3 linked regions of the Anolis sagrei genome follow. The main gene of each other region encodes a partner of the protein of the gene in region 2 in a complex. Links are inferred from orthologs where the notes say so. Each region holds a gene or a part of one and is shown on either strand. Other genes may lie near its edges. The genes, in order: TIMM10B, TIMM22 and TIMM9.

Region 1 (10,772 bases), on a different chromosome or scaffold from region 2:
AGTCTCCTTCTGGAAGAGGTCCAGACGGAAGACTCACAGCAACCCAGTGATTCCGGTCATGAGAGCCTTCCTTTGACAACACAATAATAATAACAACAATACTTTGTTTCTAGACCGCCCTCTCTCTTTATAGGGACTCAGAGCTGTTCAGAAGTGGAACTCTCTGCAGTGGATTGCCGTAAGTTTCATGAAAGCTTTCGACAACCAATAATAATAATAATAATAATCCTTCATTTGTAGACCGCCTTCTCTCCCCATAGGGACTGAAGAGCTGTTCAACTGTGGAACTCTCTGCAGTGGAGTTGATTGGAGTCTCCTTCCGGAAGAGGTCCAGACGGAAGACTCATAGCAACCCAGTGATTCCGGCCATGAGAGCCTTCCTTTGACAACACAATAATAATAACAATGTTTCTAGACCACCCTCTCTCTTTATAGGGACTCAGAGCTGTTCAACTGTGGAACTCTCTGAAGTGGAGTGGATTGGAGTCTCCTTCTGGACGAGATCCAGACGAAAGACTCACAGCAACCCAGTGATTCCGGCCATGAGAGCCTTCCTTTGACAACACAATAATAATGAAATACTTTATTTCTAGACCGCTCTCTCTCTTTATAGGGACTCAGAGCTGTTCAACTGTGGAACTCTATGCAGTGGAGTGGACTGGAGTCTCCTTCCGAAAGAGGACCAGACGGAAGACTCATAGCAACCCAGTGAGAGCCTTCCTTTGACAACACAATAATAATAATACTTTGTTTCTAGACCGCCCTCTTTATAGGGGCTCAGAGCTGTTCAACTGTGGAACTCTCTGCAGTGGAGTGTACTGGAGTCTCCTTCCGGAAGAGGACCAGACTGAAGACTCACAGCAACCTAGTGATTCCAGTCATGAAAGCTTTCGACAACCCAATAATAATAATAATACTTCATTTGTAAACCGCTGTCTCTCCCCATGGGGACTCAGAGTTGTTCAACTGTGGGACTCTCTGCAGTGGAGCGGACTAGAGTCTCCTTCCAGAAGAGGGCCAGACGGAAGACTCACAGCAACCCAGTGAGAGCCTTCCTTTGACAACACAATAATAATAACAATACATTGTTCCTAGACCGCCCTCTCTTTTATAGGGGCTCGGAACCGTTCAGCAGTGGAACTCTCTGCAGTGGATTGCCATAAGTTTTCCGGGGCTGTGTGTCCACGTTCCAGGAGCATTCTATGCATGTATGTCAGGCATCCTCAGAGGTGGAATGATGTCCAGGATGGTGGAAAGAAAATCTTCTCCCAGGCAGCAGGCAGCCAGATCTTGAAGTTGCAAGGCCATTAAACGCTAATCAAGCTGACCTCACAACCTCTGAGGATGCCTGCCATAGATGTGGGCAAAAGAAAATCTTCTCCCAGGCAGCAGGCAGCCAGACCTTGAAGTTGCAAGGCCATTAAACGCTAATCAAGCTGAATTCACTATCTCTGTGCATGTGGGCAAAACGTCAGGAGAGAGTGCTTCTGGAACACAGCCAGGAAAGCCTACAACGAGCCACTGCTGTACACAATGCCCTCTGCACATGCTCAGGGCCCCCCTGGCCTTGCTTTACCCTTCTCTGGCGCGGGAGACTCCATGGCTGCTGAGGAGGAGAGTGAGCGTTGCCAGGGGCGTTGCTAAGGAAGCCTAACGTCCCCCCTCCCGCCCTTCCGGAAGTCCGCTCTAGCCGTGCAGAGGATGTCCCTCCCCTTTGGGTGAGCTCAACCAATGAGGAGGCTTGGAGGAGGAAAAGGCGTTTGTATTTGAGTAAGGGCATTGCTTCAGTCCCCACTTCCGGGCGTGGGAGGCTCCTCCCCTTCCGGCTTGGCGGGCCCGCCCTCCTGCAGGCGGCGCTGGACCAAGACTGGCATGAGGCGCACGTAGGCCGAGATCAGGCGCTGATTGGAGCGGACCAGCTTCCCCGCGCAGCCCTCCAGGCACGCCTCCTGCCATAGAGAGAGAGGGAAAGAGAGGCACCGCTGGGATCAGAATGGCGGAAGAAGCCACAGGAAGTGGTTTTCCCCCGCACTTCCGGCGCCTTTTGCCCTCACCTCGCTCCCGTCTAGGCCTCGCTGGAGTAATCCCGGGACGCAGCGCCGGAAGCAGAGCTCCGTCATCCGGTTGTAGACCAGCAGGAAGTCCCGCAGCTGGAACAGGAAGGAGACAGATAAGACGTTTGGACTACAACTCCCACAATCCCCAAGTGTTAGGAAAGCAAGGCCTAGCTCAGGCCTTCCAGGCACTTTGGACTACAACTCCCACAATCCCCCAGTTTTGGGAAAGCTAATCCCTCTCTCAGAGCCCAGCTGGGCCCTCCAGGCGCTTTGGACTACAACTCCCACAATTCCCGACTGTTAGGAAAGCAAATTCCTCTCTCAGAGCCTAGCTAGGGCCCTCCAAGTGCTTTGGACTACAACTCCCACAATTCCTAAGTGTTAGGGAAGCAAAGATCTCTTTCAGAGCCGAGCTTGGGCGCTCCAGGCGCTTTGGACTACAACTCCCACAATCCCCAAGTGTTAGGGAAGCAAAGCCTAGCTTGGGCCCTCCAGGCGCTTTGGACTGCAACTCCCACAATCCCCAAGTGTTAGGAAAGCAAAGATCTCTTTCAGAGCCTGGCTTGGGCCCTCCAGGCGCTTTGGACTACAACTCCCACAATCCCCAAGTGTTAGGGAAGCAAAGCCTAGCTTGGGCCCTCCAGGCGCTTTGGACTGCAACTCCCACAATCCCCAAGTGTTAGGAAAGCAAAGATCTCTTTCAGAGCCTGGCTTGGGCCCTCCAGGCGCTTTGGACTACAACTCCCACAATTCCCAAGTGTTAGGGAAGCAAAGATCTCTTTCAGAGCCTAGCTCGGGCCCTCCAGGCGCTTTGGACTACAACTCCCACAATCCCCAAGTGTTAGGGAAGCAAAGCCTAGCTTGGGCCCTCCAGGCGCTTTGGACTACAACTCCCACAATTCCCAAGTGTTAGGGAAGCAAAGATCTCTTTCAGAGCCTAGCTTGGGCCCTCCAGGCGCTTTGGACTACAACTCCCACAATCCCCAAGTGTTAGGGAAGCAAAGCCTAGCTTGGCCCCTCCAGGCGCTTTGGACTACAACTCCCACAATCCCCAAGAGTTAGGGAAGCAAAGATCTTTTTCAGAGCCTAGCTTGGGCCCTCCAGGCGCTTTGGACTACAACTCCCACAATTCCCAAGTGTTAGGGAAGCAAAGATCTCTTTCAGAGCCTAGCTCGGGCCCTCCAGGCGCTTTGGACTACAACTCCCACAATCCCCAAGTGTTAGGGAAGCAAAGCCTAGCTTGGGCCCTCCAGGCGCTTTGGACTACAACTCCCACAATCCCCAAGAGTTAGGGAAGCAAAGATCTCTTTCAGAGCCTAGCTTGGGCCCTTCAGGCGCTTTGGACTACAACTCCCACAATCCCCAAGTGTTAGGGAAGCAAAGCCTAGCTTGGGCCCTCCAGGCGCTTTGGACTACAACTCCCACAATCCCCAAGAGTTAGGGAAGCAAAGATCTCTTTCAGAGCCTAGCTTGGGCCCTTCAGGCGCTTTGGACTACAACTCCCACAATGCCCAAGTGTTGGGGAAGCAAAGCCTAGCTAGGGCCCTCCAGGCGCTTTGGACTACAACTCCCACAATGCCCAAGCGTTAGGGAAGCAAGGCCTAGCTTGGGCCCTCCAGGCGCTTTGGACTACAACTCCCACAATCCCCAAGCGTTAGGAAAGCAAAGATCTCTTTCAGAGCCTAGCTTGGGCCCTCCAGGCGCTTTGGACTACAACTCCCACAATCCCTAAGCGTTAGGAAAGCAAAGATCTCTTTCAGAGCCTAGCTTGGCCCCTCCAGGCGCTTTGGACTACAACTCCCACAATCCCCAAGTGTTAGGAAAGCCAAGCCCTCTCTCAGAGCCTAGCTTGGGCCCTCTAAGCGCTTTGGACTACAACTCCCACAATTCCAGAGTGTTAGGAAAGCAAAGATCTCCTTCAGAGCCTAGCTTGGGCCCTCCAGGCGCTTTGGACTACAACTCCCACAATGCCCAAGCGTTAGGGAAGCAAGGCCTAGCTTGGGCCCTCCAGGCGCTTTGGACTACAACTCCCACAATTCCTAACAGCCGTCCCGGCTGTTAGGAATTGTGGGAGTTGTAGTCCAAAGCGCCTGGAGGGAAGGATGGGAAGCCCCGCCCCCTTGTTTGGGAAGACTCACGCTGCGCAGTTGCTGCTGCTGCTCGCTCTCCGCCATCCTGCGTCACTTCCGCTTTGCTTCCCCCTTGACTCCTTCCTTCCTTCCTCTCTCTCCCCCCGACCCTGGGGCCGCCGTGACGTCGCTTCCGGTCCTCCCGGGGGCCCAAGGCGGCGGAGGAGGAGGAGGAGGAAGGCGACGTGGCCCCAGTTCCGGGAGAGAGGGAGGGAAGGAAGAGGGAGGGGCCTAGAGCGCACCTGTGCACCTGGGAGGCAGGTACACAAGCTCACCTGTCCCCCTCCTGCTCCTCGTCCAGGATGACGGAGGGGCTGATGAGCAAGGCGGCCACCATGGAGGTCCCCATCCACGGCAACGGAGACTCCCGGCGGATGGGACCCTCCACCACCTCCGAGGATGATGGCCTCGAGCAGGTGCATTGAGGGAGGGGCTCACCTGGAGAGGGTGGGTGGGGGTGGGGTGGGGTAGCAGGGGAATTGAGGCAGGGGCTCACCTGGGGAGATTGGGTGGGTGAGGGGTGAGGTGGGGTGAGGGTCCCTCAGAAGATGATGGCCTCGAGCAGGTGAATTGAGGGAGGGGCTCACCTGGAGAGGTTAGGTGGGTGGGGAGTGGGGTAGCAGGGGAATGGAGGGAGGGGCTCACCTGGAGAGGTTGGGTTGGTAGGGGGTGGGGTAGCAGGTGAATTGAGGGGGGGACTTACCTGGGGAGATTGGGTGGGGGGGTGGGGGGCGGTCGAGCAGGTAAATTGAGGGAGGGGCTTACCTGGGAGGTTGGGTGGGTGGGATGGGGAGAGGTCAAGCAGGGACCCGTATTACTCGTAGTAATAATATTATTATTGGTGTTGTGGTGGTGCTTGAGTAGCAGGCAAAATGTCAGGAAGAAATGCTGCCAGGCCACAGCCCTACAACCTGGATAAGCACACAACTGAGGGAGGGGCTTACCTGGGAGGTTGGGTGTGGGGGGGGTGGGGAGGGGTCAAGCAGGGACCCGTATTACTCTCAGTAATAGTATTATTATTGGTGTTGTGGTGGTGCTCGAATAGCAGGTGAAATGTCAGGAGGAAATGCTGCCAGACCACAGCCCTTACCTGGGGAGATTGGATGGGGGCTGGGGGTGGGGGTGGGGGTGGGGAGGGGTCAAGCAGGGTCCCTTATTACCATTAATAGTATTATTATTATTGGTGTTGTGGTGGTGCTCAAATAACAGGCGAAATGTCAGGAGGAAATGCTGCCAGGCCACAGCCCTACAACCTGGATAAGCACACAATTGAGGGAGGGGCTTACCTGGGGAGATTGGGTGGGGGGTGGTGGGGGTCCCTCAGATGATGATGACCTCGAGCAGGTGAATTGAAGGAGGGGCTTACCTGGGGAGGTTGGGTGGGTGGGGGGTGGGGAGGGGTCAAGCAGGGACCCGTATGACTCGTAGTAATGATATTATTATTGGTGTTGTGGTGGTGCTCGAACAGCAGGTGAAATGTCAGGAGGAAATGCTGCCAGACCACAGCCCTACAACCTGGATAAGCACACAAGTGAGGGAGGGGCTTACCTGGGGAGATTGGGGGTGGGGAGGGGTCAAGCAGGGTCCCTTATTACTCATAGTCATAATATTATTATTGTAATATTATAATATTATAATATTATTATTGGTGTTGTGGTGGTGCTTGAATAGCAGGCGAAATGTCAGGAGGAAATGGTGCCAGACCACAGCCCTACAACCTGGATAAGCACACAAGAGAGCCGTCATTCCAGCCGTGAAAGCTTTCCACAATACATTATTATTATTATCATTATCATTATTATTATTATTAGAAACATAACAAGATGAGTCCACAGCAGACACTCTGCTGGCTGTTGCATTGGATCCCATGTCGGACACATTATTATTATTATTATTATTATTATTATTATTATTATTTGAAACACAACAAGATGAGTCCACAGCAGACACTCTGCTGGCTGTTGAATTATTATTATTATTATTATTATTACTGTTATTATTTGAAACACAACAAGATGAGTCCACATGTCAGACACTTCCCAAGTGCCTAGGACTATTATTATTATTATTATTATTATTATTATTATTATTATTAGAAACATAACAAGATGAGTCCACAGCAGACACTCTGCTGGCTGTTGAATTGGATTACACATTGGACACTTATTATTATTATTATTATTATTATTATTATTATTATTATTATTAGAAACACAACAGGATAACACTACAGCAGACAATCTGCTGGCTGTTGTACTGGGTCACACGATGGACACTTATTATTATTATTATTATTATTATTATTATTATTGGACACTTATTATTACCACTCAGAGGATAATGGCCTCGAGCAGGTGAATGGAGGGAGGGGCTTACCTGGGGAGATTGGGTGGGGGGTGGGGGTGGGGAGGGGTTAAGCAGGGACCCTTATTACTTTTAATAATATTATTATTATTATTGGTGTTGTGGTGGTGCTCGAATAGCAGGTGAAATGTCAGGAGGAAATGCAGCCAAACCACAGCCATAATTATTATTATTATTTTACTGACACAAAACCACAATATGTCACAGCAAACAAGATCTCTGTGCTAGGTTTCATATCACAAAATCATAAGTCGATCCCTTTCCTAAGTGTCTATTTATTTGTCGTTTCACGGCAAGCAAACTGCATTGAGTCGCCTTTTTGGGCTGAAAAATGCGGTATAGAAATAAAGCAAATAAATAAATAAAATAAATAAGCAGTCAATTATATTATATTTCTAACAGAACAAAGCAAACAAACAGACAAAACACAGAATTTGTGAGTTTGGTAGTTGGTTAAATGTCCTTTGAGCAGTCTCTGGCCACTTGGAGTGCCTCTGGTGTTACTATAAGAAGATCCTCCCTGGTGCATGTGGCAGGGGGTCAGTGGTTTGCTCTTCTCCGCACTCGCATGTCGAGGATTCCACTTTGTAGCCCCATTTCTGAAGGTTGGCTCTGCATCTCGTGGTGCCAGAGCACAGTCTGTTCAGCGCCCTCCAAGTCGCCCAGTCTTCCATGTGCCCAGGGGGGAGTCTCTCATTTGGTATCAGCCATTGGTTGAAGTTCTGGGTTTGAGCCTGCCACTTTTGGACTCTCGCTTGCTGAGGGGTTCCAGCGAATGTCTCTGTAGATCTTAGAAAACTATTTCTAGATTTAAGTCGTTGATGTGCTGGCTGATATCCAAACGGGATGGGCTGGAGATAAAGTGGGGTATAAATATATATGATAACAATATTATTAAGTATTATTATTATTATTATTATTACTGCTTTGAGTCCCATTTGGGAGAGATAAAGCAGGATATAGATGATGATGATGATGATGATGATGATTTATTTTATTTTATTTTATTTGTCGTGTCAGGGCAACCAGTTAATTATATTACATTTCTAACAGAACAAAGCAAACAAACAGACAAAATACACAACTTGTGAGTTTGGTAGTTGGTTAAATGTCCTTTGACCAGTATCTGGCCCCTTGGAGTGCCTCTGGTGTTGCTGCAAGAAGGTCCTCCCTGGTGCATCATGTGGCATTGTAGCAGGTGGTCAGTGGTTTGCTCTTCTCCACACTCGCATGTCAAGGATTCCACTTGGTGGCCCCATTTCTGGAGGTTGGCTCTGCATCTCGTGGTGCCCGAGCACAGTCTGTTCAGCGCCTTCCAAGTCGCCCAGTCCTCTGTGTGCCCAGGGGGGAGTCTCTCATCTGGTATCAGTTCTGGGTTTGAGCCTGCCACTTTTGGACTCTCGCTTGCTGAGGTGTTCCAGGGTTGTGCTTAGTCTGGAACCAAGTGTCTATGACTGTGTGATGTATCGAATAATAATGCATTCAGATCTGAATAGAGTGGCCTTTTGCAGTTGACGCCACTTGTGTTTAAGTGCAGGCCAAGGTCTTGCCGGCACTTAAACACAATCGACACTGACAAGATTACCATCAATTGGTTGCAAAAAGCCACCCTACTGGGATCTGCATGCATTATGCGCTGATACATTTATTTATTTGGCAGTTTTGTATAGCGGTCTTCTCACCTCCATCGAGGGACTCAGGCCGGTTTCCAACATCAATATTACAACAATCATTAAAAACATCGTATTCCAAATTACAGTAAAACAATAAAAGGCAAAATACAGTCATATAATTACAATGGTCAGTCGTCATCACGCAGTCATAGACACTTGGGAAAGGGATCGACTTGTGATTTTGTGATACGAAACCTAGCATAGAGATCTCGTTTGCTGTGACATATTGTGGTTTTGTGTCGGTAAAATAATAATTATTATGGCTGTGGTTTGGCAGCATTTCCTCCTGACATTTCGCCTTTAGAAAAAAGGTGAAAATGTGGCTGTGGGACCAGGCAATGGATAATGTTTGACTCTGGCATGGAAGAGGATTTGGATAAGTTAAGCGGAGTAATCATTACTAGATGGCTAGCTCAACAGCCACCAGGCGGGCAATCGCTAATCAGAGTGTATGTATACTGTTTTAATCTATATTTATTAATGTTCGTGTTTAATTGTTATATTTGTTATTCTGTATTTTATGATGCGGCATTGAATTATTGCCAATTGGAAGCCGCCCTGAGTCCGTTCCCCCCCCCCCCCCCCAGGGGTTGAGAAGGGCGGGATAAAAATGTTTGAAATAAATAAATAAATTGAGGCACTGCACCCGGTGTGCCAATCACCACTGGGACCACCTTGACTGGATTGTGCCAGAGTCTTTGCAGTTTGATCTTTAAATCCTCATATCATGTCAGCTCATTATTATTATTATTATTATTATTATTATTATTCTAATGACACAAAAAACACAGTATGTCGCTATCGCAGCAAACGAGGTATATATGCTGGATTTTGTATCACAAAATCACAAGTCAAACACTTCCTAAGCATCTAGGACTGTGTGATAGCTGGAGCGGGGGGGGGGGGGGGGGGGGCTTGAGGGGCTTCACCCCCCTCCCCCCGAAATTCTCATGGTGGTTCGCGAAAAGGCCTTACTGGTACATTATTTAAACTGTTATGTTTATTCATATCGTGATCTGATCACCATGCTCCATATATCCCAGATGCACAGAGGGGGTATTATTGGGGTAACGATACAAAAGGTTTGCTAGGGTAGATCCCCAGCCCCGCTCCCCCCTGAATCAAAATCCTGGCTATGGGCCTGGTGTGATATATTGTATTTGTTTAATAATCATTATAGTATTATTATTGTTGTTATTATTATTGTTGTTATTGTTATTATTATTTGATACACATACAAGATGAGTTCACAGCAAACAAAATCACTCTGCTGGCTGTTGTATTGGATTATACGCTGGATACTTCCCAAGTGACTAGGACTGTGTGATGTATCAGCGCATAATACATGCAGATCCCAGTAGGGTGGCCTTTTGCAACTAATAGATGGTAATCTTGTCAGCACTGATTGTGTTTAAGTGCAGGCCAAGGTCTTGAGGCACTGCACCCAGTGTGCTGATCACCACTGGGACCCCCTTGACTGGCTTTTGCCACAGTCTTTGCAGTTTGATATTATTATTATTATTATTATTATTATTATTATTATTATTATTATTGTACTGACACTAAAACACAGCATGTCACAGCAAACGAGATCTAGATGCTGGATTTCGTATCACAGAATCCCAAGTCAAACACTTCCCAAGCATCTAGGACTGTGTGATTTATTGTTATTATTATTATTATTATTATTATTATTATTATTCTATTGACACAAAAACACCGTATGTCACAGCAAATGATGCTGGATTTCGTATCACAGAATCACAAGTCGAACCCTTCCCAAGCGTCTAGGACTTTGTGATGTATTATTGTTGTTGTTATTATTATTATTATTGTACTGACACAAAAGCACAGTATGTCACAGCAAACGAGATCTTGATGCTGGATTTTGTATCACAGAATCACAAGTCGAACACTTCCCGAGCGTCTAGGACTGTGTGATTTATTATTATTATTATTATTATTATTATTATTATTATTATTACTTTACTGGCACAAAAACACACTATGTCACAGCAAACAAGGTATATATGCTGGATTTTGTATCACAAACTCACAAGTCGAACCCTTCCCAAGCATCTAGGACTGTGTGATGTATTATTGTTGTTGTTATTATTATTATTATTGTACTGACACAAAAGCACAGCATGTCACAGCAAACAAGATCTAGATGCTGGATTTCGTATCACAGAATCGCAAGTCGAACCCTTCCCAAGCGTCTAGGACTGTGTGATGTATTATTATTATTATTATTATTATTATTATTATTATTATTATTCTATTGACACAAAAGCACAGCATGTCACAGCAAACGAGATCTCTATGCTGGATTTCGTATCACAGAATCACAAGTCGAACCCTTCCCAAGCGTCTAGGACCATGTGATGTATTATAGTTTTATATATAGTGTTTTTAAAGTTGTTTTTGTAATTGTGATATATGATATTTTAATGAGTGACTGTGAGAGCCGTTCAGCAGTGGAACTCTCTGCCCCGGAGTGTGGTGGAGGCTCCTTCTTTAGAAGCTTTTAAGCAGAGGCTGGATGGCCA
Region 2 (11,478 bases):
ATAATAATATAACACATAATACATAATGATAATGCAGTTCTTAGTGTACATAATAATAATACAATAATTATATTAATAATATAATAAAGCATTTCTTTTTGCATGTAGTAATATAAAGTAATAATAATGCAGCTCTGTGCATGTAATGTAATATAAAAATACACAATAATAAAGCATTTGTGCATGGAATAATAATATAATAATATAATAAAGCATTTGTGTATGTAATAATATATTAATTATAATACAATAAAGCATTTGTTTGTGCGTGTAATAGTACAATAATTTAATAATATATAATATAGACATTTCTTTGTGCATGTAATAATAATACATTAATGATATTACATATAATAAAGCATTTCTTTGCGCATATAATAAAAATAATAATAACAATAAGATAATAACGATAATGCATTTCTTTGTGCATGGAATACAAACGGGAAAATTGAGTGAGCGTAATACGAAACGGGGGAAACATATAATGAGATGGGATCCTGCTGCAGAGAACTCTTACAAAAGGGCATAAATAGCACGGAAAGGAAGAGCTCACCGACTCGACCAGGCACTCGGTGCAGGAGAACATGGCGCCCACAATGGCAAAGTTCTTGGCGTAGGACATCCCCCGCTGCCCCATGTCCTTGAGGACCTCTCTGGCGGTCGGGGTGCAGAGGGGGTCCTTGGGGTCGAAGCCCACGTTGGTGTCAATGCCGGCCGTGAAGACTCCGAAGGCACCCCCCAAAACAAAGCCTGCGAGCAATGGGAAGAGGAATAAACAGAAGTGACGATGAATGACAAGGTTTCCTAATACCTAAATGCATGTCATGTTCCTATTTTGACAGTTGTTCTATTCTTTGGGGCTGATTATTGACCACAATAATAATAATAATATATATTTTATCAATTATTTCCAACACTATTCATGCCAAGTGTGGTCCAGATCCATCATTGTTTGGGTTCATAGAGCATTCTGGATGTAGGTGAACTACAACTCCCCCAAATCAAGTGAATTTCTTCCAAAGATCTCCAGTACATTTTGTTGGTCATGGGGGCCCTGTGGACCTACAACTCCCATAAAATACGGTGAATTCTCCCCAAACCTCTTTAGTATGTTCAGTTACTGATCAACTTCTCTGTTTGCTGTGTGCCATAGAAAAGAATAGGAAAGGGTTAAGGAAGAGGCAGTGGGCCCAAATTGGTGTCTCCTGAGTAGTGGGAGCTATAGCTGTTTGTGGACAATGTATTGTCGAAGGCTTTCATGGCTGGAATCACTAGGTTCTTGTGGGTTTTTTCGGGCTATAGAGCCATGTTCTAGAGGCATTTCTCCTGACGTTTCGCCTGCATCTATGGCAAGCATCCTCAGAGGTAGTGAGGTCTGTTGGAAGTAGGAAAATGGGTTTATATATCTGTGGAATGGCTGGGGTGGGGCAAGGGAAGAGCTCCTATAGCCCGAAAAAACCCACAAGAACCTAGTGTTTGTGGACACCCCAGCCACACACATACATACATATTTTCACTTTTACTATGTGTTTAGATAGATAAATGGTGATTGAATGGGGCTAGACACACACGGTTAATTATATTTAATATATTATTTATTAATATTATTGTATATATTATTTTGTATCATGGAATCCTAGAATTGGAAGAGACTTTGTGGGTCATCCAGTCCAACCCCATTCTGCCAAGAAGCAGGAACATCGCATTCAAAGCACCCCCGACAGATGGCATCCAGCCTCTACTTAAAAGCCTCCAAAGAAGGAGCCTCCACTACACTCCGGGGCAGTGCGTATGACTCTTATATATACCATGTATGTTGTTGTTTATTCGTTCAGTCGCTTCTGACTCTGTGTGACCTCACGGACCAACCCATGTCAGAGCTCTCTGTCTGCAGTCACCACCCCCAGCTCCTTCAGAGTCAAGCCAGTCACTTCAAGGGCACCATGCTGGATTGTGGATCATTTTATATTGTGTCTTGAATTTTGAACCTTGTTCTTTCTATGTTGTACACCGCTGTGAGTCGCCCCCGAGCTGAGAACAGCGGTATATAAACAAAGTAAATAACTAAATAAATAAATAAAAATAAATGTATACAGACACAATATATTTATTATATTATATTAATATTATATTATATACCATGTATACAGACACTATATATTTTTAAATTTTATTTTACTTTTATTATTTATTATTTTCTACCATATTATTTTGTATATTATTTATATTTTATTATATATACTATGTATACATGCAGAGTATATATATATAGTTTATTTATTTACAGTATTTATATACTGCATATACAGATACTCTCTCTCTCTCTCTCTCTCTATATATATATATATATTCTGTATAAATAAAGATGTGATGTTCGTATGTGGGATTAACATAATAATATAATAAATAATAAAACTTTATTTATATATTGCTCTATCTCCCCGGGGGAACTCAAAAACCACTGGACGAATGGACACCAAATTTGGATACAATACACCTATAAGGCCAACAATTGACCATCACTCATAAAAACACTGAAAAACACAGTGGAAGAGACTTTAAAAGCAAAAAAAAAAAAATTACATTACAATTCATCCGCAAAACAACATATTTACACATATACACAAATATACACACACATATAAACATATATACACACAAAACACATATACACAGACTGGGCCACAGCAACGTGTGGCAGGGTTCGGCTAGTATATATATATTTATACAAATAAAAACATAGTGTTTGTTTGTGGGATTAACATAACTCAAAAACCACTGGACGAATTGACACCAAATTTGGACACAAGACACCTCTCAGGCAAACAAGTGACCATCACTCATAGAAATACTGAAAAACACAGTGAAAGAGACTTAAAAAGCCAAAAAATAAAAATACATTACAATGTATGCACAAAACCACATGCAAACATAGCACATATACATAGACTGGACCACAGCAATGCGTTGCTGTGGCCCAGTCTGTGTATATGTGTATTGTGTGTGTATATATGTGTATATATATGTGTGTGTGTGTGTGTATATATATATATATATATATATATGCACATGTGTTTTGTGTGTGTATATATATGTGTATATATGTAGTTTTGCACATGCGTTGTAATTCATTTTTTTGTTTTTTGGCCTTTTAAGTCCCTTCCACTGCATTTTTCAGCGTTTTTATGAGTGATAGTCACTTGTTGGCCTGATAGGTGTCTTCTGTCCAAATTTGGTGTCAATTTGTCCAGTGGTTTTTGAGTGATGTTTATCCCACAAACGAACATGACATATATATATATATATATATATATATATATATATATATATATATATATATATAAACAGAATATTATATTTTATATTTATAGCATTTTATTACGCATTGTGCATTATATTTTATGCCTGTATTATTGAGAAATATATATATATATATATATATATATTTCAGAAGTTAGATATATTTATTACAGAATATTATATTTTATATTTATGGTATTTTATTACACATTGTGCATTATATTTTATGCCTGTATTATTGATATATATATATATATATATATATATTCAGAAGTTAGATATATTTATTACAGAACATTATATTTTATAACATATTTATATTTATTGTATTTTATTACATATCGTGCATTATATTTTATGCCTGTATATTTCAAAAGTTAGATATATTTATTACAGAATATTATATTTTATATTTATGGTATTTTATTACATATTGTGCATTATATTTTATGCCTGTATTATATATATATATATATATATATATATATATATATATATATATATATCTCAGAAGTTAGATATATTTATTACAGAACATTATGTTTTATAACATATTTATTTATATTTATTGTATTTTATTATACATTGTGCATTATATTTTATGCCTGTATTATTGAGATATATATATATATATATATTCAGAAGTTAGATATATTAATTACAGAACATTATATTTTATATTTATATTGTATTTGCAATATACACGTTGTGCTATATATTTTATGCCTGTATTATTGAGAAATATATATATATATTTCAGAAGTTACATATTTTTATTATAGAACATTATATTTTATAACATATTTATTTAATTAATTATTTTTCAGAAGTTAGATATATTAGTTACAGAATATTATATTTTATAACATATTTATTTATATTTACTGTATTTTATTACATACTGTGCATATTTTATGCCTGTATTATTGAGAAATATATATATTTCAGAAGTTAGATATATTTATTACAGAATATTATTTTTTATAACATATTTATTTATATTTATTGTATTTTATTAGATATTGTGCATTATATTTTATGCCTGAATTATTGAGAAATATATATATTTATTTATTTATTTTTCCTAGCTATTAGATGTAATATATATATATATATATATACACACACACACTGCCTAAGGGCGCCCAAGATGGCGCCACGACTGCTCTCTTCCCTCCCTCCCAGCAGCCCTTGCGTGGCGTGCCGGCCCTCTTGCGGCCTAGCTCACCTCCCGCGCAGGCCAAGGCGGCCTTGAAGGTGCAGCTCTCCATGGCGCGCTCCACCGCCTTCTGCTCGGCGCTCTTCACCGGCGAAGGGAAGCCCGCCAAGGCCAAGGCCGCCGTCTCCAGGCCGGGACGAGGCCCGCGCTTCTCCCCGACCAGGTGCTCCAGCAGCACGCTGTACTGCAGCCCTGCCGGCGACGCTTCTTCGGACCCCGCCGAGGGAGAAGGAGACGGCGCCGCCATCGTGCTCGCTTTCCCTCAGAGGCCGAGACTCCGTCTCCCGTCAGGCCTTGCGCGGAACGGCCTTATTGCTCCCAATGGGAATCCCTGCCGCAGAGGCTCAAGGGAGATGGAGTCCACTAAATACCCTGAGCTCTTTCTTGAAAGGACGCCATGTTGTAAAACTTCACAGACTACATCTCCCATCTTGCCTTTCGCGGAACATTGGTATCGTTTCTAATGCGAATCCCTGGCGCAGAGGCTCGCGGGATATGGAGTCCTCTAAACACCCTTAGCGCTTGCTTGAAAGGACGCCATGTTGTAAAACTTCGCAGACTGCAATTCCCATCTTGCCTTTCGCGGAACAGCCGTATTGTTTCTAATGAGACTCCCTAACGCAGAGGCTCGCGGGAAATGGAGTCCGCTACACACCCAGAGCGCTCGCTTGAAAGGACGCCGTGTTGACAAAACTGCAATTCCCGTCTTGCCTTTCGCGGAACAGCCGTATTGTTTCTAATGCGAATCCCTGCCGCAGAGGCTCGCGGGATATGGAGTCCTCTAAACACCCTTAGCGCTTGCTTGAAAGGACGCCATGTTGTAAAACTTCGCAGACTGCAATTCCCATCTTGCCTTTCGTGGAACAGCCGTGTTGTTTCTAATGCGAATCCCTGCCGCAGAGGCTCGCGGGAGATGGAGTCCACTAAACACCCTGAGCGCTTGCTTGAAAGGACGCCATGTTCTAAAACTTCGCAGACTGCAATTCCCATCTTGCCTTTCGCGGAACAGCCATATTGTTTCTAATGAGAATCACTACCGCAGAGGCTCAAGGGAAACTGAGTCCTCTTCCTAGAAAGGGCGCCATGTTGTAAAACTTCGCAGACTTCACCTCCCGTCATGCCCTTCGCCCTATAGCAATATTGTTTCCAATGGGAATCCCTGCCGCAGAGGCTCAAGGGAGATGGAGTCCCTCTTGCTTGAGTGATAATGAAATAATAAACATAATAATACTTAATATAACAATACGTAATAGTAATAATACGAATAAATGACATAATACTACTTAAAATAATAATAATATTATTAATACATATAATAATAATACCAAATAGTACTAATAATAAAATAATAATACTAAATATAATATTATTATTAATACATATAATAATAATAATAATAATAATAATAATACCTAATAATAGTAATAATAGTAATAATAGAAATTATAATACCTAATATAATATTATTATTAATACATATAATAATAATATTACCTAAAAATAATAATAGAAATGAGAATACCTAATATAATATTATTATTAATACATAATAATAATAATACCTAATAGAAGTAATAGTAATAATAGAAATGAGATTACATAATATAATATTATTATTAATGCATATTATAATAATAATACCTAATAGTAGTAATAGTAATAATAGAAATGATAATAGCTAATATAATATAATTATTAATACATATAATAATAATACCTAATAATAGTAATAATAGAAATGATAATAGCTCATATAATATTATTATTAATACATATAATAATACGTAATAGTAATAATAGTAATAGTACTAATAGAAATTATAATAGCTAATATAATATAATTATTAATACATATAATAATAATGCCTAATATTAGTAATAATAGAAATGATAATAGCTAATATAATATTATTAATAATACATATAATAATAATACCTAATAATAGTAATAATAGAAATGATAATAGCTAATATAATATTATTATTAATACATATAATAATAATACCTAATAATAGTAATAATAGAAATGATAATAATAATGCCTAATAATAGTAATAATAGAAATGATAATAGCTCATATAATATTATTATTAATACATATAATAATAATACGTAATAGTAATAATAGTAATAGTACTAATAGAAATTATAATACCTAATATAATATTATTATTAATACATATAGAAATAATACCTAATAGTAATAATAGTAATAATAGAAATGATAATACCTAATATAATATTATAATTAATATTATTATTAATACATATAATAATAATACCTAATAGTAATAATAGTAATGATAATACCTAATGTAATATTCTTATTAATACATATAATAATAATGCCTAATAATAGTAATAATAGAAATGATAATAGCTCATATAATATTATTATTAATACATATAATAATAATACGTAATAGTAATAATAGTAATAGTACTAATAGAAATTATAATACCTAATATAATATTATTATTAATACATATAGAAATAATACCTAATAGTAATAATAGTAATAATAGAAATGATAATACCTAATATAATATTATAATTATTATTATTATTAATACATATAATAATAATACCTAATAGTAATAATAGTAATGATAATACCTAATGTAATATTCTTAATAATACATATAATAATAATACCTAATAATAGTAATAATAGAAATGATAATACCTAATCTAATATTAGGGCCCCCAGGTGGCCCAGTGGGTTAAACCACTGAGCTGCTGAACTTGCTGACTGAAAGGTTGGTGGTTCAAATCCAGGGAGCGGGGTGAGCTATCGTTAGTGAAGTCGAACATGACACACTCACACACCCCCCCCATAAAAGATAGTAACTTATAGTTTTGCTAAGGACAAGGACACCAGACTGGATAATAAGGGTTAAGCCTTGATCAATTTGCCAAGACACTAACAACAACAAGGACCCTTCCCATGACAGATAGTGTGTAAATATTACAATAGGACAAGGGGAAACCTTTGGAAAGCTTCCCCCTCCTGACCTGTCACCCATTCAACTCTCTCACTGAAGGCATCCACTTAAGTTTCCCCCGTTGTTCCTCTGTTTTGGTGTAAAAGGAAAACCCGGACTATGTTGGTATAATGTTTATTTTACTCAATCACCAGTCATTAGTAAAGCTTAGCTCGTAGGCCATTTTAGGATTCGTATCAGGACATTTCCTGATACCATAATCCACTCAAGAATGCATTGTATTCCCTTGTCCCGCCTCCCTTCCTTCTGATTCACTGGAGTGCCTAGGCGGCAGAAGCCTCCTGATTGGCTCTGGCGCACCGCAGAAGCCCTGTGATTGGCCCAGGCGCTCAAGGGGCGGCCAAGCCTCCTCCCAGCCAATCACCTTCAAGCCGAGCAAGAGTGGAGAGCGGGAGATTTGAACCACACAACTCTGTATTTCTATAAAAATGGCATTTATTTGTGTACATGTTATGCTTTAGCTTGGCGAAAGGTTGCTGCTTTGCATCCTTTTCAGCTGAATTGGCCCCTGGACATTTCCTGATACCATAATCCACTCAAGAATGCATTGTATTCCCTTGTCCCGCCTCCTTCCCTGCTGATTCGCTGGAGCACCTAGGCGGCAGAAGCCTCCTGATTGGCTCTGGTGCACCGCAGAAGCCCTGTGATTGGCCCAGGTGCTCGAGGGGCGGCCGAGCCTCCTCCCAGCCAATCACCTTCAAGCCGAGCAAGAGCAGAGAGCGGGAGATTTGAACCACACAACTCTGTATTTCTATAAAAATGGCATTTATTTGTGTACATGCTATGCTTTAGCTTAGCTGAATTGCAATAAAATCATCTCAGTGGCGCTTTCTTCAACTTTGGCGAGATTCTTTTTGGGAACCGAGGGAAATTATCTTAAATTGGGCTTCTCTTTGCTCCCCGTTGTAGCGATCCTTCTTTGGTGGGTCCGCAGGGTCTCTCCTACAGGGCCAGTCCCTTCTAAAATCCTCCATTGTTTCATTAGCCCCAGCTTCTGCCAACCTAGCAGTTCGAAAACATACAAATGTGAGTAGATCAATAGGTACTGCTCCTGCGAGAACGCCGGCTCTTCGGCTTCGAAACAAATCCTCTCATTTGGCCACCGCAAAGCCAGAAATACATTTGGATGAGAGACGGCGGGGATAATTGGAGGGAGAAAAGGAGGCCCTGTCATTAGGAGGGCGAGGCTGCCTTCCTTGTGGGCACGAGGCCGAATTTAGCCTTTGGCCACATCATGGGACTCTCTGCCTGGAAGACGCCTCGACTACGCCTTGCAAGGGAGAGAAAACAGGCACAAAATACGATCGGAATAACATAAATAATCACTTCTGTTGGTTCTGGGAAGGGGTGAAGTGACCCCGCAGGTAGACCCCACTGCAACCTATGGATCACTGTTCAAATACATCTCGATCTAAAGGGAAGAAGCAGGATAATGATAATAATAATAAATTTAATAATACTAAATAGAATAAAATAATAACATAGAATCATAAATGAAATAAAATTTATAATAAAATTATATATATATAATAATAATAATAAAAATATAATATATTAAGTATTATAGAATAATAAATATAATAAAATAATATATACCACAATAAATAGAATAAAGTTATATATATAAATAACAAATAGAATAATAAATAAAATATATAATAATAAAAATAAATAAAATAAAATATAGAATAAATAAAATAAAAAATTGAATAATAATAAATATAATAAAATTATATATACTATAACAGAATAAAATTATATATATATATATATATATATATATATAACAAATAGAATAATAAATAAAATATATAAAAATATAAATAAAATAAAACATCTAATAATAAATAGAATAAAATATAAGATAAGAAAATAATAACAAATATAAGAAAATAAGCTATATAATAATACAATAAAATATATTATAATAAATAGAATAAAATTATATATAAAGAGAAACAATAACAAATATAACACATATAACAATAAAATATAGAACAAAATAGAATAATATTAATACAATACAATACTAAACAGAATAATCTCTCTCTCTATATCTATCTATATATATATAACAAAATAGAATAATAAAATAGAATAAATAGACATAATAAATAAATAATAAATAAAAGAAAATGTATAATAAATAAAATAAAATATATAAGAATAAATAGAACAACCATACGAAATAGAATAAAATAATAAAAAATAAAATATTAAATAGATCAGAATATATAAAATGGAATAATAAAATAAAACATATAATAATAATAAACAGAATAAAATAAAATATATAATAATGATGAATAGAAATATAATAAAATATATCATAATAATATTAAATATAATATATAATAACAATAGTGAGATGGCTGAGGTGGGATTCGAACCCAGGGTTCTTTTGGGTGGCATGTATGGCATCACATGACCCCGGCTTCCCCTTTTTCCTCTCCTCCTTCAGGTTCGGCTGGGCTTCCTCCTGATGCAGATGCATGGGCTTCTCTGCAGGAAATCCCTCTGAATGCAGAAGAGGAGGAGAGAAGGAGGAAGGGAAGAGAGAAAGGAAGAGAAAGAGAGGCACCCTCCATCCGCCAGCCTGGCTGCATCCCTACCTTCCTTCCATCCATCCATCCTGTTGATGCGGCAGAAGCAGGAGGGTGAGTGCCACCTGGCATCCTTTTCCCATCCGTCTCTATGGGATCTCTCCCAGGGAAGGAGATGCTCTGGCTGCTTGGCACATCTGCTGCTTCCAAGGCTGCAAGGGAAAGGGCTCTCATTTGTTTCAATGGGGGGAGCTGTCATTTGTGCTAAGCTTCTGCCTGATTGTTCAAAAGGGGGAAATCCTACGGCTTGGCTTTGCTTCTGCCTTTTCTCTCTTATGGAAGGGATTGTGCTCCTCTATCTCTCATAATAATAATAATAATAATAATAATAATTATAATAATAATAATAATAATGTTCAAGAGATGCGTCTAAAGGTAAAAATTAATAATAATAATAATACATGTAATAATAATAAATAGAATAAAATAAGAAATGGAATAATAAATACAATAAAATATAATAAAATAATATATATGTATAATAATAATAATAAAAGAATAGAATAAAATAAGAAACGGAATAATAAATATAATAAAAAATAAAAATAATATATATATAATAATAATAAAAGAATAGAATAAAATAAGAAACGGAATAATAAATACAATAAAATATAATAAAATAATATATATGTATAATAATAATAAAAGAATAGAATAAAATAAGAAACGGGATAATAAACATAATAAAATATAATACAATAATAAAAATAATATATATTATAATAATAAAAGAATAGAATAAAATAAGAAATGGAATAATAAACATAATAAAAATAATAAAATAATAAAAATAATATATATAATAATAATAAAAGAATAGAATAAAATAAGAAACGGAATAATAAATATAATAAAATAATAATAATAATAATAATAATAATAATAAAAGAATAGAATAAAATAAGAAACGGAATAATAAACATAATAAAATATAATACAATAATAAAAATAATATATATTATAATAATAAAAGAATAGAATAAAATAAGAAATGGAATAATAAACATAATAAAAATAATAAAATAATAAAAATAATATATATAATAATAATATAAGAATAGAATAAAATAAGAAACGGAATAATAAATATAATAAAATAATAAAAATAATAATAATATATATAATAATAATAAAAGAATAGAATAAAATAAGAAACGGAATAATAAATATAATAAAATAATAATAATAATAATAATATATATAATAATAATAAAAGAATAGAATAAAATAAGAAACGGAATAATAAATATAAGAAAATATAATAAAATAATAATAAATAAAAATATATATTATAATAACAAAAGAATATAAAGAATATATATATATAATAAAAGTATAAATTAAAT
Region 3 (11,022 bases), on a different chromosome or scaffold from region 2:
CATTAATTGAGGCATCAGTAGGTTAAATGTTTTTGAATATTTACATAAAACTGTAATTTAAGATAAGACTGTCCAGCTCTGATTAAATCGTTATTCTAATCTTCAGTGTAAATGTGCTTATGTATCCCTCCAATAATAACAAAGGGAGTGTTATTATTAAAAACCTGGATGTTCGAACAGGCATTTGGTTAATCGGTGCAATGAATGTGATGATTACAGGAATGGTAATATGGACAACGAAACTGGATCACGATTTTAGTCATGAGATGCATTGGATTGTTATTGTTGTGCCAATATTGTGTATTATGCTTTTATGGTTTTAAATTGTATATTGTTGACTTTTGTACCTTGTTGTAAACCGCTAGGCTGAGAAACTGCGGTATACAAGTAAAGTAAGTAAGTAAATAAATAAATAATAATGATGATGATGAAATCCAGCATATATACCTCATTTGCTGTGTCATACTATGTTTTGTGTCAGGATAATAATAATAATAATAATAATAATAGAGTAAAATAATGGAAATGTAATAACAGTAATAACAGAGTAAAATTATAAATGCAGTAACAATAAAAATAAAGTAAAATAATAAATGTAATAATAATAAAGAGTAAATAAATAATAATACTAATACTAATAATATAATATATATATATATATAATATAAAAATAACTCTAATAATAAATGTAATAAAATAATAATACTGTAGAGTAAAATAATGTAAATATAATAATAATAATAATTATATTTAAATAATTCATGTAATAAAATGATACTAATAACAAAGTAAACTAATAAATAACCTTGACTCGAGTATAAGCCGAGGAAAACTTTTTCAGCCTAAAAAGGGGGCTGAAAAACTAGGCTTATACTCGAGTATATACAATATATAAATATGGCAAATAAATAAATAAGTAGACATGGCCAGAGCTTAAGTGACATCTAGACTGGGTTAGTCCAGTGTTAGCTACAATGAACTAAATTAGAAGAGAAATTGCAAGCACTTATTTTTTTTTTGTATTAATCACCCAACAATACCACATACATGTCTTCAACCACAGCTGTTTTACACAAACATGCAAATCTTGTACTATACATACATTTTCCAGCTGCAATTTTAATGTGAATATTTGAAATCCATATTAGCATGCTGCCACATAATGGCGACTATAGTGTATCTATTAAAACAAGGAATGCAGCGGAACGGAGAAAGAATTTTTACAAAACAGTGCAGGATATCCATGCCAAGAATTGAGATTAGTGTCTCTTCCAAATTAATTGCTTCCCGAATGAAGTGAGCTTGCTAGCAGTTTTAAGGACTGTCAAGGTCATAATGAATGCTTGCAGACCTCTCTTATTGAAAAACAGTGCTAGAAAGCAGCAAGGGACCCAAAAGCCCAGGGTGCATCTCGGCTGCAGAATTTAATGCAGTTTTGACATCTTTTCACTTCATGGCTCATTGTTATGTTATGGAGTTTGACAAGGTCTTCAGCCTTCTCTGCCAAACAGCAAATCCCAGCATTCCATAATATTGAGCCATGGCAGTTAAAGTGGGGTTACACTACATTAATACTACAGTGTAGATGCACCCTCAATAGGATGAAAATGTGACCAAAAAAGAAAACAAAATCCCTCCCATCTCGATATTTCCTTCTTCTTTTCCATCCTTGAGTTGACACTATTTTAACTACAATGAGCTTAATGCAGGAGCTGCAGTGGTGCAAAGGATTAAACCTTTGTGCAGGCTGAACTGCTGACCTGAAGGTCATCAGTTCGAATCTGCGAGATGGAGTGAGCTCCCATCTGTTAGCTCCAGCTTCCCATGTGGGGACATGAAAGAAGCCTCCCATAGGATTAAACCCTTGTGCCGGCTGAAATGCTGACCTGAAGGTCATCAGTTCGAATCTGCGAGATGGGGTGAGCTCCCATCTGTTAGCTCCAGCTTCCCATGTGGGGACATGAAAGAAGCCTCCCATAGGATTAAACCCTTGTGCCGGCTGAAATGCTGACCTGAAGGTCATCTGTTTGAATCTGCGAGATGGGGTGAGCTCCCATCTGTTAGTTCCAGCTTCCCATGTGGGGACATGAAAGAAGCTTCCCATAGGATGGTAACACATCCATGTGTCCCCTGGGCAATGTCTGTACAGATGGTCAATTCTCTCACATCAGAAGCGACTTGCAGTTTCTCAAATTGCTTCTGACACGATAAAAAAACCCCTTAATTCGATGGAATTCTGGGAATTGTAGTTCGGCGAGGTACAACCAACCCTTCAGCAGAGACCTTGTAAAACTAGAGCTTCACTGATCACACAGTACTGAGGCATAGCAGTTAAAGTGGGATCAAAGTGCAGTGTAGATGGACACACTGCCTGTCGACCGCAGACATCCATTAGTTTTACTAATCAAAAGTTTTGGGCTCCTTCTACACTGCCATATAATCCAGATTATCAAAGCAGATAGTCCATATGATCTGCTTTGAACTGGATTATATGTCTAAAATGCCATATAATCCAGATTATTTGAGTAGATAATCCACACGATATGCTTTGAACTGGATTATATGTGTCTACACCATATAATCAGATTATCCAAGTAGGTAATCCGTACGATCTGCTTTTGAACTGGATATGAGTCTACACGGCCATATACTCCAGATTATCTAAGTAGATAATCCACATGATCTGCTTTGAACTGGATCATATGACTCTACACGGCCATATAATCTGGATTATTGAGTAGGTAATCCACACTATATGCTTTGAACTGGATTATATGTGTCTACACGACCATATAATCCATACAATCTGCATTTGAACTGGATTATATGTGTCTACACAGCCATATACTCCAGATTATCTAAGTAGATAATCCACATGATCTGCTTTGAACTGGATCATATGAGTCTACACGGCCATATAATCCGGATTATTGAGTAGATAATCCACACTATATGCTTTGAACTGGATTATATGTGTCTACACGACCATATAATCCATACAATCTGCATTTGAACTGGATATGAGTCTACACGGCCATATACTCCAGATTATCTAAGTAGATAATCCACATGATCTGCTTTGAACTGGATCATTTGAGTCTACACAGCCATATAATCCAGATTATCTACTCGATAATCCACGTGATCTGCTTTGAACTGGATCATATGAGTCTACAGGCCCATATAATCCGGATTATCTACTCGATAATTCACATGATCTGCTTTGAATTGGATCATATGAGTCTACACGGCCATATAATCCACACGATCTGCTTTGAACTGGATCATATGAGTCTACACGGCCATATAATCCGGATTATCGAATAGAAAATCCACATGATCTGCTTTGAATTGGATCATGAGTCTACATGGCTATATAATCCGGATTATTGAGGAGATAATCCACATGATTTGTTCTGATCTGGATCATATGAGTCTACACGGCCATATACTCCAGATTATTGAGATGATACACACGATCTGCTTTGAACTGGATAATGAGTCTACACGGCCATATAATCCGGATTATCGAGTAGATAATCCACATGATCTGCTCTAAACGGGATCATGAGTCTACACAGCCATATAATCCGGATTATCGAGTAGATAATCCACATGACCTGCTTTGAACTGGATCATGAGTCTATATGGCCATATAATCCGGATTATTGAGTAGATAATTCACATACTCTGCTCTGAACTGGATCATGCGTCTCCTCAGCCATATAATCCGGATTATCGAGTAGATAATCCACATGATCTGCTCTAAACGGGATCATGAGTCTACACGGCCATATAATCCGGATTATCGAGTAGATAATCCACATGACCTGCTTTGAACTGGATCATGAGTCTATATGGCCATATAATCCGGATTATTGAGTAGATAATTCACATACTCTGCTCTGAACTGGATCATGCGTCTCCTCAGCCATATAATCCGGATTATCGAGTAGATAATCCACATGACCTGCTCTGAACTGAATCATGAGTCTACACGTCCATATAATCTGGATTATTGACTCAGTAATCCACATGATCTGCTTTGAACCGGATAATATGAGTCTATATGGCCATATAATCCGGATTATTGAGTCGATAATTCACATAATCTACTTTGAATTGAATCATGAGTCTACACGACAATATAATCCGGATTATTGACTCAATAATCCACATGATCTGGTTTGAACTGGATCATATGAGTCTACACGGCTATATAATCCGGATTATCGAGTAGATAATCCACATGATCTTCATTGAACTGGATTATATGAGTCTACTTGGCCATGTAATCCCGATTATCGTTTAGATCATTCACTTGATCTGCTTTGAACTGGATCATGAGTCTACACAACCATATAATCCGGATTATCGTTTAGATCATTCACTTGATCTGCTTTGAACTGGATCATATGAGTCTACACAGTCATATAATCCGGATTATCTTGTATGGCAGTGTAGAAGGGGCCTGCTACAACCCTTCCCCGTTTAATACTTCTAGCACAAAGAATCAACTCCTAAAACCTTCCCTCCTGGCTTGCTTGCTTCTCACCTTCCTCTTGCAATGGCTGCGGATCCTTCCTTCCTTCCATCGACCACGTGGGGGTGCATCGCCTTAAAGGGTCCCGGTTTCCACCCGGACGACTATCAAGAAGGAACGGAATTGGAGGGTGCGCATGCGCATTTCCAACCCAAGCCTTTGTAATAGGAAATCTAGAACTGCGCATGCGCGGCTTGTCTTGAATTGGGAAAGCTACTGCGCATGCGCGGCTTGTCTTGGACTGGGAAAGCAAAGCATGCAGGTCGGTTTGGAAGTGGCGGGAGCCCTGCCTGCTGTTACCATAGCGACCGAGGCTTCCGGTTAGAGGCCGCTGGGCAACCCAGAGCAGAGGGGTATCTACCTGGGGAACAAAAAGGAAGGTGGGGAGTACTTGTGGAGGCATAATTCAATAAGTATTTTCCTGTAGTTACTTCTTTATGTAATTCTTTGTGTTGATGAAGGCTTTCATGGCTGGAATCATTGCATTGCATGGCCATGTTCCAGAAGCATTCTTTTCTGACGTTTCTCCCACATCTATGGCGACTAAAACGATCAAGGGCCTGGAGAACAAGCCCTATGAGGAGCGGCTTAAGGAGCTGGGCACGTTTAGCCTGAAGAAGAGAAGGCTGAGAGGGGATATGATAGCCATGTATAAATATGTGAGAGGAAGCCACAGGGAGGAGGGAGCAAGCTTGTTCTCTGCTTCCCTGGAGAACTGGACGCAGAACAATGGCTTCAAACTACAAGAGAAGAGATTCCATCTGAACATGAGGAAGAACTTCCTGACTGTGAGAGCTGTTCAGCAGTGGAACTCTGCCCCGGAGTGTGGTGGAGGCTCCTTCTTTGGAAGCTTTTAAACAGAGGCTGGATGGCCATCTGTCAGGGGTGATTTGAATGCAACATTCCTGCTTCTTGGCAGAATGGGGTTGGACTGGATGGCCCATGAGGTCTCTTCCAACTCTTTGATTCTATGATAGGCATCCTCAGAGATTGTGAGGTCTGTCTGGAAACTAGGCAAGTGGGGTTTATATACCTGTGGAATAAATGTCCAGGGTGGGAGAAAGAACTCTTATCTGTTGGAGTTAGCTGTGAATGTTGCAATTGGCCATTTTGATTAGCATAGAATCATAGAATCAAAGAGTTGGAGGAGACCTCATGGGCCATCCAGTCCAACCCCACTGTGCCAAGAAGCAGGAATGTTGCATTCAAATCACCCCTGACAGATGGCCATCCAGCCTCTGCTTAAAAGCTTCCAAAGAAGGAGCCTCCACCACACTCCGGGGCAGAGAGTTCCACTGCTGAACAGCTCTCACAGTCAGGAAGTTCTTCCTCGTGTTCAGATGGAATCTCCTCTCTTGTAGTTTGAAGCCATTGTTCCATTGCGTCCTAGTCTCCAGAGAAGCAGAAAACAAGCTTGCTCCCTCCTCCCTGTGGCTTCCTCTCACATATTTATACACAGCTTGCAGCTTCAAAGACTGGCTGCTTCCTGCCTTCTGGAACATGGCCATGCAGCCCGGAAAACTCACAGCAACCCTATCTACATATATAATGCAGCTCGAAACAGTATGGATCCATATAATGTGGTTTAACTATCTTGAACTACATTTTGAGTCTACACTGACCACATGATGCAGTTTCAAACTGCAGCATTCAGGTATGGGTAATAGTATGAAACTGGGTTGTTGTAAGTTTTTTTCGGGCAATATGGCCATGTTCTAGAGGCATTCTCTCCTGACGTTTCGCCTGCATCTATGGCAAGCATACTCAGAAGTTGTGAGGTCTGATCTAGTGAGGTAGTGAGGTCAGACCTTACTACCTCTGGGGATATTTATTTATCGTGTCATCAGCAACCAGACATTTGTATTACATTTTTAACAAAAGCAAACAAACAGACGAAACACAGAATTTGCAAGCTTGGTAGTTGATTCAATGTCCTTTGACCAGTATCTGGCCACTTGGAGTGCCTCTGGTGTTGCCGCAAGAAGGTCCTCCATTGTGCGTGTAGCAGGGCTCAGGTTGCATTGCAGCAGGTGGCCTGTAGTTTGCTCTTCTCCGCACTCGCATGTCGTGGACTCCACTTTGTGGCCCCATTTCTTAAGGTTGGCTCTGCATCTCGTGGTGCCAGAGCGCAGTCTGTTCAGCGCCTTCCAAGTTGCCCAGTTTTCTGTGTGCCCAGGAGGGAGTCTCTCATTTTGTATCATCCATTGATTGAGGTTCTGGGTTTGAGCCTGCCACTTTTGGACTCTCGTTTGCTGGGGTATTTCTGTGAGTGTCTCTGTAGATCTTAGAAAACTATTTCTTGATTTAAGTAGTTGACGTGCTGGCTGATACCCAAACAGGGGATGAGCTGGAGATGTCTCTGCCTTGGTCCTTTTACTCTTGGCATCCACTTCCCGGCGGATGTCAGGTGGTGCGATACCGGCTAAACAGTGTAATTTCTCCAGTGGTGTAGGGCGCAGACACCCTGTGATAATGCGGCATGTCTCATTAAGAGCCACATCCACTGTTTTAGCGTGGTGAGATGTGTTCCACACCGGGCATGCATACTCACCTCTGGGGATGCTTGGCATAGATGCAGGCGAAACGTCAGGAGAGAATGCCTCTAGAACATGGCCATATAGCCCAAAAAAACCTACAACAACCCAGTGATTCTGGACATGAAAGCCTTCGAAAATAGTATGAAAGCTGGGTCCGGAAGCTCTGAGCGTTATGCTGTTTCCGCTTCACTCCTTCGGGAGCTCTGTTTGCGCAACGCAGAACAAAACACAGATATTATAGCAGGAATGTAAGAGTTATTTAATGTTAAAACCCTTATCCTAATCCTAAACCTTACCCTAACCCCCTAAATCTTACCCCTAATCCTAACCCTAATCCTTACCCTAAACTTTACCCTAAACCTTATTCTAACCCTCCCCTCCTTTCTATTCTTCCACCAGATACAACTTTGAAGTATATTCCCACCCTCAGTGTGTTGCTCTCCCCTTCCCTTATTTACAACCGCCTTTGCGGAATGAGCTTCCGAACCCAGCTATCATACTATTACCCAGGGATGTTCTGTTGTAGGCCTTTTGGTGACATGAGTGTGACTTGAGCATAATCTTGTGTTTATTATTGTCATAATAATAAGCAGTAACCGTAGTATGGAGTTTGAATCATGCATATTCCTCCATGTTCTTCTGTTCTTTCCTGTTACCTTTTAATTGCATCAACTAATCTTGTGTTTCAATAGTCCATCAACTAGTTTTGTGCTTTGCTTAAAAGGAGCAAGAGCTGAAATGTTGGCTGTGAGCTGCTAATGTGATTGGAAAGGACTGCTGGCCGAAGATCCTTTGATTAGACCCTCTGCTGTCAACAACCTTATCTTTCCCAACTTCCACATGAAGAAGAAACATCTTGACACTCAGCCAGCACTGACTTCAGATGGCAAGCCTGCTGCTTGTGCTAAGAAGAAGGTCTCCATCTCTGTGAAGAGGCTTCGAGAAATAGCTCCGCCCCACCCTCTGGTGTTCTCTGTAAGGGATGATGGAGTTTATATTCCACCAGCCTTGGTGGCTAACAAACCTGAATCTCATAAGACAACAACAGAAACATCTGAAGGCACCACAGCAGGTACATTTGTTAGTATTGTATAAGTCTAAATCTTTTAGAGGTCAGAAGTCCAGTTGACTGTGAATGTCTTCCACATGTTGAGTATTATAAATGTCCCCTTCCCATCTTGCTTTGCTTCATCTGATTTGCTCTTGGCCTTTGCTTGCTCTGTCTCCTTTCTCCTTTCATATCCCAGACCTCTTGGAAAGAGGGGCAACATCCTGTTTCGGTTGCTGTGGGTTTAATTCAGGGCAGGGAAAATGTAACCTCTCAAATATTGCTATTGTAGCTTCCTTAAGCTCTCATGGACTGCCAAAAATGGTGAATTGGCAATTTATGGAAACCTGCAGGAATGGTGATTAATCTTTTAAATAGTTCTCAAGAACATTCTCTGCAGTGTTTGAAATATATACATATATGTATTCATTTAAAATACCTTGTTATCTAAAACTAAAAGTGAGCCGGGCTATAGCACAGCTGGTTAATCACCAGCAGCAATAGATCTTACCAATCGAAAGCTTGGCAGTTTGAAGACTGGATCAGGGTGAGCACCTGACCTTCAGCTCAGCTTACTGTCCACCTAGACAGTTCAAAAACAGCTGTGAGTAGAGAAATTAGGCACCGCTTAAGTGGGAAGGTATTTTACAGCACCATAAAAAGGAAGTACTGGAAAATGTCGGCAATCAAAAGACAGGAGGAAGTCTGTGACCAAGGGCTCTGCCCTGAGGTCGTAATTGAGGACAACCTCCGGGATGCTGAAGTTGGGAAAAATGCCCACATAATACCTCTGTCTGTCCTGTATGTCAAACGGCATTGAATGTTTGCCGTGTATGTGTTCTGTGATCTGCCCTGAGTCCCCTTTGGGGTGAGAAGGGCAAATATAAATGCTGTAAATAAATAAATAAATAAATAAATAAAGTTCTGATCACTTCCAGTTTGTTTCTGTTTTCCTTGTTTGGCAGTTTATGCAAAACAAGAAATACAATTCTTCTTCTTCTTCTTCTTCTTCTTCTTTTTATTATTATTATTGTTATGGATATGAGATCATGACTCAGAATTTTAGATGGTTTTTAATCTGTTTGATTGATTACTATGTACTTTAATTGCTTATATGCTTATATTGTTTTATATTTTGATGAGATATATGTTATTGTTTATCTGTGCAGCATTAAATTTTTGCCGGATTTGTACCCTCTGGGGTAGAAATGAAGTAAATAAATTAATAACAAATAAATAAATTATTACAACTCCTGGAAAGACCAATTTGTAGAAAATCATTTATTCTTCGTGTCGTCCGTGAAATGCGCACCTATGGGTTCTTCTTTGCGCATGCGCAGAAACTCGGAACATTTCTAAGTTTAAAGAATTAAAAATGATTATTTGAGCCACCTAGGCCCCGCCCATTCCCCCGCCCCCCTGGATATAAGCGCCGAGCGGCGCCGCCATTATCTAGTTTCCTTTTCCGCGCTAAACTAGCAGCATCTCGGAACAACTCCTCCTCGATTTCCTCTGACTAACTGGACTGACTTGGACTGATTTCTGGACTTTGGTTGCCTCTTTTCTCCACCCTCGACTCGGACCGGCTGACAACTCTTTTTCTTCACCCTCAGGCTAGATGTCTTCCCTTTATTTCAAAAATTGCTCAGCTTGCGGGGCCACCCTCCCCGAAGCTGATAGGCACTCAAGATGCCTCCTTTGTTTGGGAGAATCCCATAATCTCCAATCTTGTGAGATTTGTTTAAGCTTTACTACAAGGGCTCGTAAAGGAAGAGATGCCCGTTTGAAAGCTCTGTTGTATGAGCGCGCTCTGGCTCCACAATCCCTCCCCACTCCCTCCCTCTCTTCCCCATTGATAGAGCCCCCTCAGCCTCCCTCCCCACGCATTGGGGAAAGGCATGAGTTGGATCAGGCAACTGTTTCCCCTGTGGAACCGCCTGCAAAGAAACAAAAACTCCCCAAACAGCCCACGAGGCTGGGGAAAACAAAAGAGAAAGCAAATAAACAGAAAAAGGGACGGCAACTCACTGACACACAGTCCTTGAGTCCTCCCAGACTGGAACCGATGCCCCATTCCTCCGGATCCGTGCTGCACCTCCAGGAGCCACTCCCCACCATGCTCCAACTGGATGACCCCTCCCACCTCCCTCCGCTCGAACTCCTGGCCCCTCAGCTGGAGTTGGAAGCCCAGCCCTCTGCAGGCCGATCGGCTTCTCCTCCTCCGCTTCCTCTCTCCCAAGCCTCCCCCCTCCCATCCCCTCTTCCTCAAGCCCCGGCCCCGAGAGAAACTCCCTCCCCCGTTCCGGCTGCGCCGATTGCGCAATCTTCCCGCCGCCGCCGCCGATCCCCTTCTCCTGAGGCGGAACCGACAGCGCCCTCCTCTCCTCCTCTCAAAAGGCCCCGTCCTTGCTCCTCTGAGCACTTTCAACCATATGGGTACCCAGAGTACCCTTACCACCTCTATCCCCCTCCTCCTCCCTTCCCACCATACCCTTTCTATTATCCTCCCCACCCTGATCACTATAGGGGCTTTGATGCCTCCCATCTGGAGGACCCTAGATACCCTCAGCCCCCCCGTGCGCCTCCCACGGCCACACTCTCTCGCCCTCAGGAAGACCAAACTGAGGCCCAAACCCACCCACCCGAGCAAGATCCCATCAATCCACCCCTGCCAGACTCAGAAACCATCGACCTTGAATCCAATGATGACACACCTGCCATCCTGGATACCCAACCTGACGCTGACCCCTCCCCTAAAAATGTGGAGGAATTCAAAAAATTCTCAGCTCTTTTAATAAGACTAACTAGAACCTTAAACTTAGCCACTCCGGAACCTACCGATACGGTAGCTGACCCGTGTTTTACTTCCACTGAACAACAACAACCATCATCCA

The links.
Region 1: TIMM22 (region 2) and TIMM10B share a complex: the UniProt entries of both Homo sapiens proteins name them as parts of the TIM22 complex. The link is inferred for Anolis sagrei from reciprocal best matches to the Homo sapiens genes TIMM22 and TIMM10B.
Region 3: the proteins of TIMM22 (region 2) and TIMM9 are in contact, whole or in part, in a cryo-EM structure (PDB 7CGP), measured with the Homo sapiens proteins. The link is inferred for Anolis sagrei from reciprocal best matches to the Homo sapiens genes TIMM22 and TIMM9. Residues at the interface, in NP_037469.2 of Homo sapiens: Asp35, Arg37, Gln38, Pro39, Arg40, Leu42, Gly45, Ser46, Leu47, Gly49, Ile50, Ser52, Pro53, Lys60; in NP_001291414.1 of Homo sapiens: Gln13, Glu16, Phe17, Thr20, Leu57, Thr60, Gln61, Met65, Phe67, His71, Gln74, Asn75, Leu78, Lys81.

Annotation. Positions count from the first base shown.
Region 1 is NC_090023.1:1,134,264-1,145,035, forward strand, and holds TIMM10B (mitochondrial import inner membrane translocase subunit Tim10 B), read right to left. Parts: upstream 4,281-10,772; 5' UTR 4,232-4,280; coding exon 4,196-4,231; intron 2,151-4,195; coding exon 2,055-2,150; intron 1,950-2,054; coding exon 1,785-1,949; 3' UTR 1,747-1,784; downstream 1-1,746. Other genes in the region: DNHD1 (dynein heavy chain domain-containing protein 1), read right to left, coding at 1,577-1,601; ARFIP2 (arfaptin-2), read left to right, coding at 4,489-4,602. UniProt on the Homo sapiens protein: Component of the TIM22 complex, a complex that mediates the import and insertion of multi-pass transmembrane proteins into the mitochondrial inner membrane.
Region 2 is NC_090031.1:29,073,992-29,085,469, forward strand, and holds the start of TIMM22 (mitochondrial import inner membrane translocase subunit Tim22), read right to left. Parts: upstream 4,878-11,478; 5' UTR 4,767-4,877; coding exon 4,529-4,766; intron 751-4,528; coding exon 554-750; intron 1-553. Other genes in the region: SPECC1 (cytospin-B), read left to right, coding at 9,951-10,183. UniProt on the Homo sapiens protein: Essential core component of the TIM22 complex, a complex that mediates the import and insertion of multi-pass transmembrane proteins into the mitochondrial inner membrane. In the TIM22 complex, it constitutes the voltage-activated and signal-gated channel.
Region 3 is NC_090021.1:334,534,935-334,545,956, reverse strand, and holds the start of TIMM9 (mitochondrial import inner membrane translocase subunit Tim9), read right to left. Parts: upstream 4,650-11,022; 5' UTR 4,556-4,649; exon of another isoform or gene 4,528-4,555; intron 1-4,527. Other genes in the region: KIAA0586 (protein TALPID3), read left to right, coding at 7,921-8,152. UniProt on the Homo sapiens protein: Mitochondrial intermembrane chaperone that participates in the import and insertion of multi-pass transmembrane proteins into the mitochondrial inner membrane.